Linked DNA regions of Ovis aries. The protein of the gene in region 1 interacts with the protein of each later gene in a pairwise test. Links are inferred from orthologs where the notes say so. Each region holds a gene or a part of one and is shown in the gene's direction. Other genes may lie near its edges.

Region 1 (3,646 bases):
CTCTGGGACGGATGGGGGACATGGCCAGCCTTGCCCGCAGAGCTCCTCCAGGGTGAGGGCCTGGTGTTGTCAGAGGGGGAGACCCCCTGCTCCCGGGGTGGATGAGATGCGTGTGAGGAGGGCTGTTTGGACAGTGGAGGAAGAGGAGGTGGACACAGCCTCTTGCTCTGCAGACTGGGCAACGAGGAGGGTGCTGGTGCTGGGACCCGAAGGCCTGGCGCAGTTGGGGGTTCAGAGGGAGAAGCCTGGTCACCAGTCCCCTGCATGTCAGTGAGAGAGAAGAGGAGGCAGCCGGGGAGTAGTAGGGGCCGCTGTGCTCTGAAGACGGGGACCGCAGCGGCTGGGCAAGGGAGGGGTGTCTCCAGGAGGCAGCTTTCCAGGGGTCAGTGACTCGGCGGCACAGGTGGGGCCTCAGGGCTGGCTTCCGGGCAGGGTAGGCTGGCCCAGGCCGGGGGAGTGGGGACTGAAGCCTGGATCAGAGGCAGGGTGGGCTCAGTGTATTTGGCAGGACCTCCCAGTGGAATTGGTCACCTTGTCTCTGAGACCTTCTCCCGGAGGAAAGAGCCTCAGGTGAGGAGGGGGAGAGCGATGGAGGCTGCACTCTGGGAGGGGACTGGGAGGTGATGGTGGGGGGCGTCTCAACCCAGAGGCCTCTGTGGCCTTCAGAGGACCCGCGAGTGTCCACAGTCCCAAGCAGGACTCTGTCGTAGCTTCCACCTGACTCCCAAGTGTGCTGCGGTGGAAGTTGAGCAGAGAAAGGAGCGGTTCCATCAGGAGGGAGGGGAGATGGGAGGGAAGACAGGTGTGGCTCGGGGAGGTTCCAGACTTGCATCTCCTGGGAAACACCGTGCGGCTCAGGTCCGAGCTGTGGGTCCGAGGGCTTTGTGCCGTGGGCGGTCGAGGTGCCGTCAGAAGTGCTGAGAGCGGTGCAGACAGTGTTCCAGGGAGACGGGTGTTTGTGGTCCATGGACGTCACACGGGAGGTGGAGGGCAGAGCAGGCACCGGCCAGAGGGGGTGTGGGTGCCCAGGAGCTGGCAGAGCAGGTGCAGCCCCGCCCCGGGACCTGAGGGTGGGCTCTGGGGGACCGCAGCCCCGAGCACCGGGCAGCCAGCCGCACCCTCGCCTTAGCGCTGCCTTCCCTACATACGGGAGCTGCCCAGCTGGTGGCGCTGAGACCTGAGTGTTCGCAGGGCAGCAGGTGGGCCTGCTGCTGTTGGAGCCAGGAGGGCAGAGCCCGCCCCACGGCCCCTTTTCTGTGAAATTGCCAATTTTCCAGATCGACAGGCTCTGGCTTGACTGACAGAGTGAGCTCTCTTTTCTCCTAACAGCATCCTTCTTTCCCGTGTGTTCCAGCCGACCGCACCTGGGCAGCGTCCCGGACTTCAGGTTCCCTGTGGCCGACGGGCCGGCAGACTCCTTCAGCGGCGCGGCGGTGCTGCGGCGCCCCCAGAAAGGCCGGCTGGCAGCGCTGCGCGACGAGCCGTCCAAGGCAAGGACCCCCCCACCCCACCCCTGCCACCCCGTGCCTATCCCTGGTGGGCACCTTGTGAGGCCCCCGCCCCCGACACTGTGGTCCTGACACGGTTTTGGAACCAAGTGTTGATAGATCGCTTTACGTCTTCGAATTTTCCTTTTTCTGGCTAAGAGTTTACAAGGCATGTTTTTTTTTTTTTTTTTTTTTTTAAAGAACCAATTTTGATAACGTGTGGCTTCCTGTGAGGCCCGGCACAGTACTAATTAGCACAGTTTTGAAACCGTCCTACGAGTGAATGGATCCACACGTGCCTCATGTTTTAGTGAGAAGATTCTCGTTGGAAGGTTAAGCGCCTTCGTATTTTCGCCTCATTCATGGCGTGTGTTTTTTCGTATGTCTCTGTGTTTTGAGCGCCCACGTTCAGCGGGAAGCTAGTTTAGACCAGACGTCGTCGGAACGAGGACTCCAGCAGTGACTTAAAAACCGTGCGTGTTCTTTATCCACTGCTGCGTAACGAACCACTGCAGAGCTCGGTAACCTCGCAGTGAGCAGGCCACAGCCCACAGCTCCTGTCCCTCTCCCAGGCGGGCCTGACTCAGGGCCTCCTGAGGGCGCAGATTAGGGAAGGCTCCCCGGGGCTGGATGGTAGGCTTTCAGACTCAGCTGGCTGCTGGGGACAGGCCCAGGTCCCTGCTGTGCAGATCTCTGTGTGGCCTGGCTTTCCTCGGAACGCCCTCTGAGAGTGAGAGCGTAGGGTGTAGCCCGGGGTCTTTCATGCCCTGGTTCGGAAGCCGCACACCTTCACTTCTGTTTTCGAGCATGAGCTGTGAAGTCCTGCCTCGCTCGGGCTGAGCAGGAGTTGCCCCTTCTGCCTCTTGAAGGGAGGAGGATGGAAGGATTTGTGGACCCCTTTTTAAACCCGCACAGCCTGTCAGACAGCAATGAGCAGGGAAAGGAGACCAGAGTGCCCGAGTTGTCCGAGGAGGAGGGGACGATCGTGTGTGAACAGGGGTGGCCAACGAGGTGACACCAGGAGGGTGACCTTGAACCAGAGACCTGGAGGCGGGAAGAGAAGCCGCCACTCGGAGATAGATCAAGGGTCGAGTCAACCGGCAGGGACAAGGGAGAGAGCGGCCTGGATCAGGGAGGACCCAGGCTCAGGCCTGAGCAGCTCGAGGCCAGAGCCTGTTTGCTACGGTGAGGAGGGCTGCCAGGCAGGAGCTCAGAGCCGGGCCTCTGCCCTGTGGAGGTGGACAGGCCTGTCCAGGGGACGAGTCTGGTCAGCAGCTGAGTGTTCCAGCCTGCATCCGGGAGAGGACTCAACTCAGCTCAAGGTGGACTGGGGTTGCGGGCATGCAGATGGTGTTTAAAGGCATGAGCAAGATAAAGTCGCCAGGCAGGTGCCTGTGGAGAGAGATGAGGTGCAAGGGTAGAGCCGGGGGCCACCCCACGTTCCGAGGTTGAGAAGGGCACAAGGGACTGAGGACGAGCCCCAGGGAGGGTGGGGCCTGGAGCTGAGGGAGAGACACGCTGGGCGGGTGGGGAGGGGGTTTGGTAACACGGGGTCCTTGGAGCCCCCGGGAGCTGCCCTGTGGGGTGGGCCCCCCGCCTGCTTGCAGAGACTGGGCAGGGAGAGGGACAGTAGAGGCCGCTCCCGGGGAGCTCTCAGAGACCCGCGGTGGGCGCTGCAGGCAGCCCTGGAGGAGCAATCTGCTGGTTCCCGTGGTGCGATTTTAAGCAGGAAGAGGGAGAGGACGTGCTGCCCGGGCTGACGGGGGTGAACCTGTAGGCAGAGAAGGGTGTGAGCTGTGGGAGGGGGCGGGCGGCATGGGGCCCAGCGGGCACTCTCTGTGCGTCCCTGATTACAGAGCTGCCTTGCGATGCGAGAGGCTGTCCCCCAGGACAGCCCGAGTGCCTGCGCCCCGGGAGGAGAGTGCGGGGGGCTCGCCCTCCCGTCCCCTGGCTGCCCGTGCTCGCTCCTGTCTGTGGGTGCTCAGACCAGCCTGCAAACGGAGGGCTGGGAACCCGCGAGGACAGCACTCCCCAGTGAGCTAGTAGCAGCGATGACTGCCGAGGTGGACCCAGCGGCTGTGGAGCTGAAGGATGTCTTTTTCTTCTCTTCCTTCAGCCTGGCTGATGGTGGCATGGGTGTATTTATTTAATTTTCGGTT
Region 2 (3,646 bases), on another chromosome or scaffold:
GGCCGTGGGCTCACCCATGCCATACGTCAAGTGGATGCAGGGGGCCGAGGACCTGACGCCCGAGGATGACATGCCCGTGGGTCGGAACGTGCTGGAACTCACAGACGTGAAGGACTCTGCCAACTACACGTGCGTGGCCATGTCCAGCCTGGGCGTCATCGAGGCTGTGGCCCAGATCACAGTGAAATGTAAGCAGGGGTCGTGGGGGAGGCAAGTCATCCCTGCACCTCAGGTGTAGGTGGGGCATAATGGTGGAAAAGCTTCTGAGTCACTTTTCTGGCCTCAGTCACTCCTGGCTGTGAACAGGACAGTCAACATACTAATGACAAATTATTGTGGGCTGGGCCCCATGGAATGAGACCCAATCTTGTTCTACTGAGCTCACAGTCCAAAGTGGATGATACCATGTAGCCTGGCAGTTATATGATGCATGCTGATTAGGGCAGTGACAGGGGCCATGGAGCACCGCTCAGACCCCCAGAATAAAGGTGCCAATTCCCAGGAAAGCTAAGTCAGAGGAAGACTGAAAGTTGAACAGGAATGAGCCAAAACAGATGGAGAACATATCTAAGAAAAGGAAATAGCCTGTGCAAAACTCAGAGAGATGGAGCACTGGGGAGTAGGGAGGGATTACTGACTCTCTTGATGTCTCAAGTTTGTGGTGAAACTCAGAGCAGGATGCCCCCAGATATTTTTTCTAGCTTTGGAACAGGGGCCAGCAGACTACAGTCCATGGACTGAATCTGGCCCTCCACTTGTTTTTATAAATAAAGTTTTATTGACACCTGCCCATTTGCTCACAGCTGGCTGGTGGCAGCTTTTGGGCTACCGTGACAGAGCTTAGTAACTCTTAGCACGGAAGCAGCCACCAGCAATACATAAGCCGTATACCTTGCCAATACTTGCTATAGATGGTAGGCTGCTGCTGCTGCTGCTAAGTCACTTCAGTCATGTCCAACTCTGTGCGACCCCACAGACGGCAGCCCACCAGGCTCCCCTGTCCCTGGGATTCTCCAGGCAAGAACACTGGAGTGGGGTGCCATTTCCTTCTCCAATGCATGAAAGTGAAAAGTGAAAGTGAAGTCGCTCAGTCGTGTCTGACTCTGTGCCAACCCATGGACTGCAGCCTACCAGGCTCCTCTGTCCATGGGATTTTCCAGGCAAGAGTACTGGAGTAGGGTGCCACTGCCTTCTCCAGATGGTAGGCTAGGGGTCGTTAAGACAGGTGTTACCACCAAAGAAATTATGGCTCTGAGAGGGCAGTCAAGTGACTAAAAGTTACACAGCCTTGAGGGTTCACAGCCAGTATGCCTGACATGTGACCTTGCCTCCCACCCACAGCTCTCCCCAAAGCCCCTGGGACTCCCGTGGTGACAGAGAACACAGCCACCAGCATCACCATCACGTGGGACTCAGGCAACCCAGACCCCGTGTCCTACTATGTCATCGAATATAAATCCAAGAGTCAGGATGGGCCGTACCAGATCAAAGAGGACATCACCACCACGCGTTACAGCATTGGTGGTCTGAGCCCCAACTCGGAGTATGAGATCTGGGTGTCGGCCGTCAACTCTATCGGCCAGGGTCCGCCCAGCGAGTCGGTGGTCACCCGCACCGGCGAGCAGGCCCCCGCCAGCGCGCCGAGGAACGTGCAGGCGCGCATGCTCAGTGCCACCACCATGATCATCCAGTGGGAGGAGCCGGTGGAACCCAATGGCCTGATCCGGGGCTATCGGATCTATTACACCATGGAGCCCGAGCACCCCGTGGGCAACTGGCAGAAGCACAACGTGGACGACAGCCTGCTGACCACCGTGGGCAGCCTTCTGGAGGACGAAACATACACGGTGCGCGTGCTGGCCTTCACCTCCGTGGGCGACGGGCCCCTCTCGGACCCCATCCAGGTCAAGACTCAGCAGGGAGGTGAGTTGCGTACGTGATGCACGACTTCTGGGGGATGGGAGGACAGAAGGATTTGGGACCCACGCCCCACGAGGCAGTAGGAGGCGGCCATGCAGTGATGTGCCTCTGAGCACACAGAGGAGGCCGTCTTACCTGGAAGCCACCACGTAGTTTATTTGGCCTTTTTCAAGTATTTTCACACTAGCGTCGCAATGCAGGAGGGTGTCCTAGAAAACCCAGATTTCTGGCCACCCTTGGAAAAGCCCATCTGGCAAGCCCACACACAGGGCTACAGTTGGTAGCGATGCGTTTGAGAAACGGGGCGTGGCCTCCGCTGGCCTCCATCTCCTTTGTTATGCCCCTCCCTCATCCATCTGTGAGTTTGAGAACCTCCGTTTAGTACTCTCGCTAGAGTGATCCCTACCCACTGGATCACTGAAATAACAGAAAGTATGTTAACCCAAAGTGCTGAAGGCAGGTCTCTCACAGCGCGGGCGAAGGACTGGGGGTAGGGGTGTACAGCACGTAGGTGCGTGGGCCCCAGCTCTCTATGGGTTTCTGGGCTTGGGAACCTCGAGTCCAGGGAGAGTCAGGCCACTGATCAAGCAAAGGGACAGGAGGTTTGGAATTCTGCTGCCGTAGAGCAGACACAGGGTGGATCCATATTTTCAGTTATCGGCCCCACCAATTTTCTGTTGAATTGAGGGGAAGAGGGTGGATGCTGGGGAGCGTTGAAAACGGGATTTTTAAAATGTTTTCCCATTGGCAGCAGAGAGGATGGGGGAGTTGGGGCGGGCAGCTGACAACAACAGGCCACAGGGAGCTATCCCGGGAAAAGAAGAGAAATGAGAACAGTGGAGAACATTCTGGGAGCATCCAGAACCTCATAACCCTTCTTGTTAGGGCAGTGATAAGCTTTAAGGAGCTCTTTTGGGGGAGAATGGGAACCTCGAAGGTTAGGGACCCTATGCTGGTGGACCCCCTCCCCAGCCTCTCCTTGATGATACCAGCCCTCTCGCCTCTCGCTCGCAGTGCCCGGCCAGCCCATGAACTTCCGGGCCGAGGCCAAGTCAGAGACGAGCATCGGGCTTTCCTGGAGCCCCCCGCGGCAGGAGAGCATCATCAAATACGAGCTCCTCTACCGGGAAGGCGACCACGGCAGAGAGGTGCGTGGGTGGCGTGGGGGAGGGGATGGCACTCGCCCCCTCTCCCCTCCCCAGGCACCCGCTCTGGGCAGCTCTCCTGTCTTGGGACTAGGTGCCTGAATATCTCTCTTCCTCCTTCTCTTTGCCCCGTCCCTTACTAAATTTTCCACCTCTCTCTTCTCCATCTCCATCACTCTGTGGGTCTGTGTCTATCTCTCTCCCTGATGTCTGTCTGTCTGTCTGTCTGTCTCTCTCCCCATCCGGGTCTCTCTCCTCGCCCCTCCCCCAGGTCGCGAGGACCTTCGACCCGGCCACGGCCTTCGTGGTGGATGACCTGAAACCCAACACGGAGTACGCCTTTCGCCTGGCGGCGCGCTCCCCGCAGGGCCTGGGCGCCTTCACCTCGGTGGTGCGGCAGCGCACGCTGCAGTCCAGTAGGTGTCTCTCGGACCCCGCCCTGACCTGCGGGGGGGACCTGGCCGGCGCCTGTGCACTGACCCGGGCGGGGCCTGCACAAGGGTGGGAGGCACCTTGGCCCATCCCACCTCTCTCCTCCACCTCGGGCGCACGAGAATCCTCGCTGAGCCCCAGTTCCCCCG
Region 3 (3,746 bases), on another chromosome or scaffold:
CACAATGCTAACAGCCCGTTTAACTAGAGGGTACCTGGATGGCTCTCTGTTGCACTATTACAAACAGGATAATTATTATTTTCTTTAAGCATCAACGTAGTGACATTGCTCTCTAGCAAGAAAGACAGCATTTAAAAAAAAAAAAAAAAACTGTTGCCATAGTTGTGTGCCCTGATCAGACATGAACGATAAAAGCTTTCTGCTAAATTTATTCCAGCCTGCCCACCCATCCTCTTCCCCAGCTCCAGTCTCCTCTTCTAGCTTCGCTCAGGGGATCTAAGTTCCTCTCCCGAGTCTGTGGTACACCACTTTACTGGCACTGGCCGCTCTACGGTGGGGTACTGAGCAGGAGGGGAAGAAATGACTCCCCCAACGCCCGCCCGTGTCCTCTCAACAATGAGACTGTTTCCCAGCAACTCTTTTGCAGTCTCCCCCGCCCCAACACAACCCAACCCCCTGCTTTCTCAACTACCACTTCGGCAGAGCCCAATGTCTCCTTCAGTCCCGTCAGTCAGGCTGCCACACATCCCAACTGACAGCTGCACCCTGTGTCTGATATACAGAACACCCCGGGCGCCTCACAGCCTCGCCCCCCTACCCTACCTCGTACTAACGGGGATTCTTCCCAAGCATCCACTGTGCTGTAAATTAAAACTCTGCCCCTTGCATTTTTAAACCCTCCACCCCCCTAACCCTTACCACCAGCTTCCCTCCAAATCAGAAAACCCAAAACACCTGTAAAATTAATCGAAAGCACGCGAACACCTGAAGCAGCGCAGGCGGGATCCACACCTGGGCAAGTCCTCTGTGGCTTTAGCGGTCGGGGATAGCCCGTGCCTGACATGGCCTCCTCTCCCCGCTCCGACCGCTTGACCGCCCCCCGCCCCCCGAGCCCTGGAATCCAGCCAAGGTCTCGGGGACGCAGGGTCAACCTGGTCCGCGTCGGGGCGGCTCGGGGGCGCGGCTCGTCTCCCCGCATCCCGCCCCAGCCAGCGCGCCTGCACCGCCGCCGCCGCCGCCGCCTCCCGGGTGGGCCCTCGGAACATCCCGCGCCGCGTCCTCCCCGCCCAGGCTCCCGCTCGCCCGCCCGCCGGAGCCCGGCCCGCGCCGCTGGCAGCCATCAAGTGGCTCGTTAAGGAAATGCAGGTGAGTGCGTGCGGCGGGGCGGCTGCCGCCAGAGACGTGGGGTGTGTGCCTGTCTGTTCGAGCGGGAGCAGGAGGGAGCGCGAGCGAGCGGGCCAGCGCGGGAGCGACCGGGAGAGGATCGCCGCCTCGGCTCCCCGCCCCGCCGCGCCCGCAGCCGGCAGCCCGAGCGCGTGGGGCAGCGCCTCGCCCTGACGGCGGACGGTCCCTCGGCTTCTCCGCCAGCCGCTCGTCGGCCTCCCCCGCCCCGCGCTCCCTCCCAGCCCGAGCCCTCCTGCTGCTCCTCCTCCTCAGCCTCCTCCCTCCTCGCGCCGCTGACAGGCAGCCTCCGCGGGGAGAGTGCAGGTACTTTGCCTTCAGAATAATTTGCAGGACCCCAGCGAGCTTGCGGAGCGCCCAGATTTTGTCCTGCCCTCGCCCCCTCCCTCCCGAAAAGAAGATCCCACTTTTGAAACAAGCAGAACCCCCGAAGCAGAGGCAGCAGACCAAAGCCAGAGCCCGACGGGCGGCTGTGCATGTGCTGTCCTTTCTTGCAGTTTATTCTGGGCCTGTGTGGAATAGAAAGACAATTCTTTATTTGACTGGAAGGAGAGAAAAGAGAAGACTCCTCAGGGTTTCCAAGGAAGACTGGAGCGACTGCTTTAGTAAGTAAACTGTGCTTCCGTATTTCTTGTCTTAAAGTGAGGCATATGCTGAATGAATGCTTCTCCCCCGATGGTATGGGCGGGCAGTTTGTTCGTTTTACCAGGGAACAAGTTGACTTATATAACTTCACTAGTTCTTAATTGAGAAGTGGTTTGCTAAGCATTCTTTTTTTTTTTTTTTTTTTTAAGAACATTGCATTGAGCAGACTTCAGTGTGGGCAACCATACTGGAGATCTGTTTTTTAAACGCTCATTGTTCATGAGCTATGGAAGCTTGGTGTTTGAAACGCTGGTTGGTTCTAAGATTTAAGGATGGGTTCCTAGGGAGAAAAAAAAAAAAAAAAAAAACCTTGAGAATTCTAACCCTACTGGTACCACCCCCCCTACCCCCCCCCCCCCACTGCTACCTTCAACCTCAGTCTTAATCCACACCAACTCCCATCCTTCACTGACTTCTCTTGGTTGCTTGTTTTATCTTTAGTTCTGAAGAGAGCTTGTTTAAAAAAAAAAAAAATGGGTCAAGGGAAAGTTAATATAGGTGGTTTGAAAGACTGGAATAAAAGCCTGTTGAGTTTTGTTTTTTTTTTTTTTTTTTAATGCTTGTAGATGAATGAGATATGGAGGAAAATCTGAGAAATAGCCTCGTTTAGAAAAAAATGCATGGAATTAATTTGGAAAAGGAATCTGAAAAATGTTTTGGAGAGGGCAGAAGCTGAGGCTGTGACTTTGACACAGCAGGTTATAAACTGTGACAGGGCTCAGCAGCCTGTGACAGGTTTAAGGTGTCTCCTAGGGCTGAATATCTCTGCATCAAAAACTTTTGCAGGCAGTATTCCTCTTGGGGTTAACATCACCATGTCAGTAGCTGCAGCATTTCTGTAAAAACAAGTAGGACAATCTTCCTTTCTCTGTGAAAGGGTTAACGATATCTTAAAATTAAAAAAAAAAAAGATACATTTGGCAATATTTTGTGATATCTAAATAGAATCTTTGTGTTATATCAGGACGAATATAGTTGAGTCAGTTTGTTTTGCAGAAGAGGGAGAGAATCAATAACATTTCAGCAGTCTTTTTTTTTTTCTTTATCACTGCCAAATGGATCCTGAATCTAATTCTTCTTGCATTGTTACATATACAGTAGATACAGTAGAATTACAGTTTAGTTACAACAAAGCTGATTAACAAATTCAAAGTTCTTTGACATAACGCTCATACTGACTAGTATAGAATACTGATTAGAAAAAGTTTGTTTTTTCTTTAACTTTCAATTTTCCATGTTGGTATAAAATACACTTTTCTAATCATTTTAAGAGTTAAAAACCAGACTGAAAACTAAAACCACTTGTCTCACAGATTTTATTTCTAAGAAAACACCGTACTATCGAATAATACCTAAGGGCTTTCTTATATTTAATTGATGAAAAAAACACTTACTTTTTTATTTACTCGTTATTATATAAAAGTAGCTATATTCTTTTGACACTGAATTTTAAAAATTGAAGAGTGAACTAATGATCACTGATTTTAAAAAGGGAAAGATCTTTCAGAACTGTTATTATCCAATGTCAAAAGCTCTGAATATCTTGAGACATAAGTTTTTAGGATAATGAAATAACAGTAGGACAGTTGATGAATTTGTTGACATGAAGTTACCATACATGGAAATCACTTGATAAAGACATCATTATTTCTTATATATTACTTTATTTTCTATCCAAATGTTTTTTCTTATATATATTACTGCTCTCAGTTGCCACTTCTACCATTAGTTTAAAGTGAATTTAAATAATTTAAAATAAAGCCCCAGGTTGATCAGATTTGGATTATAGCAAATGACCTCTACTCATCTGTGACCTCACATATCTAAAAGAATATCTGATGTTTGAAAAAATAAATATTGAAAATAAAAGGTGAATTTGTACTGAGGTAACCAAATTTGAGTGGGTCAAACATGTTATT

What was found.
Region 2: the proteins of PPFIA1 (region 1) and PTPRS interact in a two-hybrid assay, tested with the Homo sapiens proteins (2 studies listed by BioGRID). The link is inferred for Ovis aries from reciprocal best matches to the Homo sapiens genes PPFIA1 and PTPRS.
Region 3: the proteins of PPFIA1 (region 1) and PTPRD interact in a two-hybrid assay, tested with the Homo sapiens proteins (2 studies listed by BioGRID). The link is inferred for Ovis aries from reciprocal best matches to the Homo sapiens genes PPFIA1 and PTPRD.

Annotation. Positions count from the first base shown.
Region 1 is NC_056074.1:43,864,115-43,867,760, forward strand, and holds part of PPFIA1 (liprin-alpha-1), read left to right. Parts: intron 1-1,354; coding exon 1,355-1,490; intron 1,491-3,646. UniProt on the Homo sapiens protein: May regulate the disassembly of focal adhesions. May localize receptor-like tyrosine phosphatases type 2A at specific sites on the plasma membrane, possibly regulating their interaction with the extracellular environment and their association with substrates.
Region 2 is NC_056058.1:16,828,973-16,832,618, forward strand, and holds part of PTPRS (receptor-type tyrosine-protein phosphatase S), read left to right. Parts: coding exon 1-188; intron 189-1,341; coding exon 1,342-1,923; intron 1,924-2,934; coding exon 2,935-3,068; intron 3,069-3,336; coding exon 3,337-3,481; intron 3,482-3,646. UniProt on the Homo sapiens protein: Cell surface receptor that binds to glycosaminoglycans, including chondroitin sulfate proteoglycans and heparan sulfate proteoglycan.
Region 3 is NC_056055.1:78,724,116-78,727,861, reverse strand, and holds the start of PTPRD (receptor-type tyrosine-protein phosphatase delta), read left to right. Parts: upstream 1-1,435; 5' UTR 1,436-1,787; intron 1,788-3,746.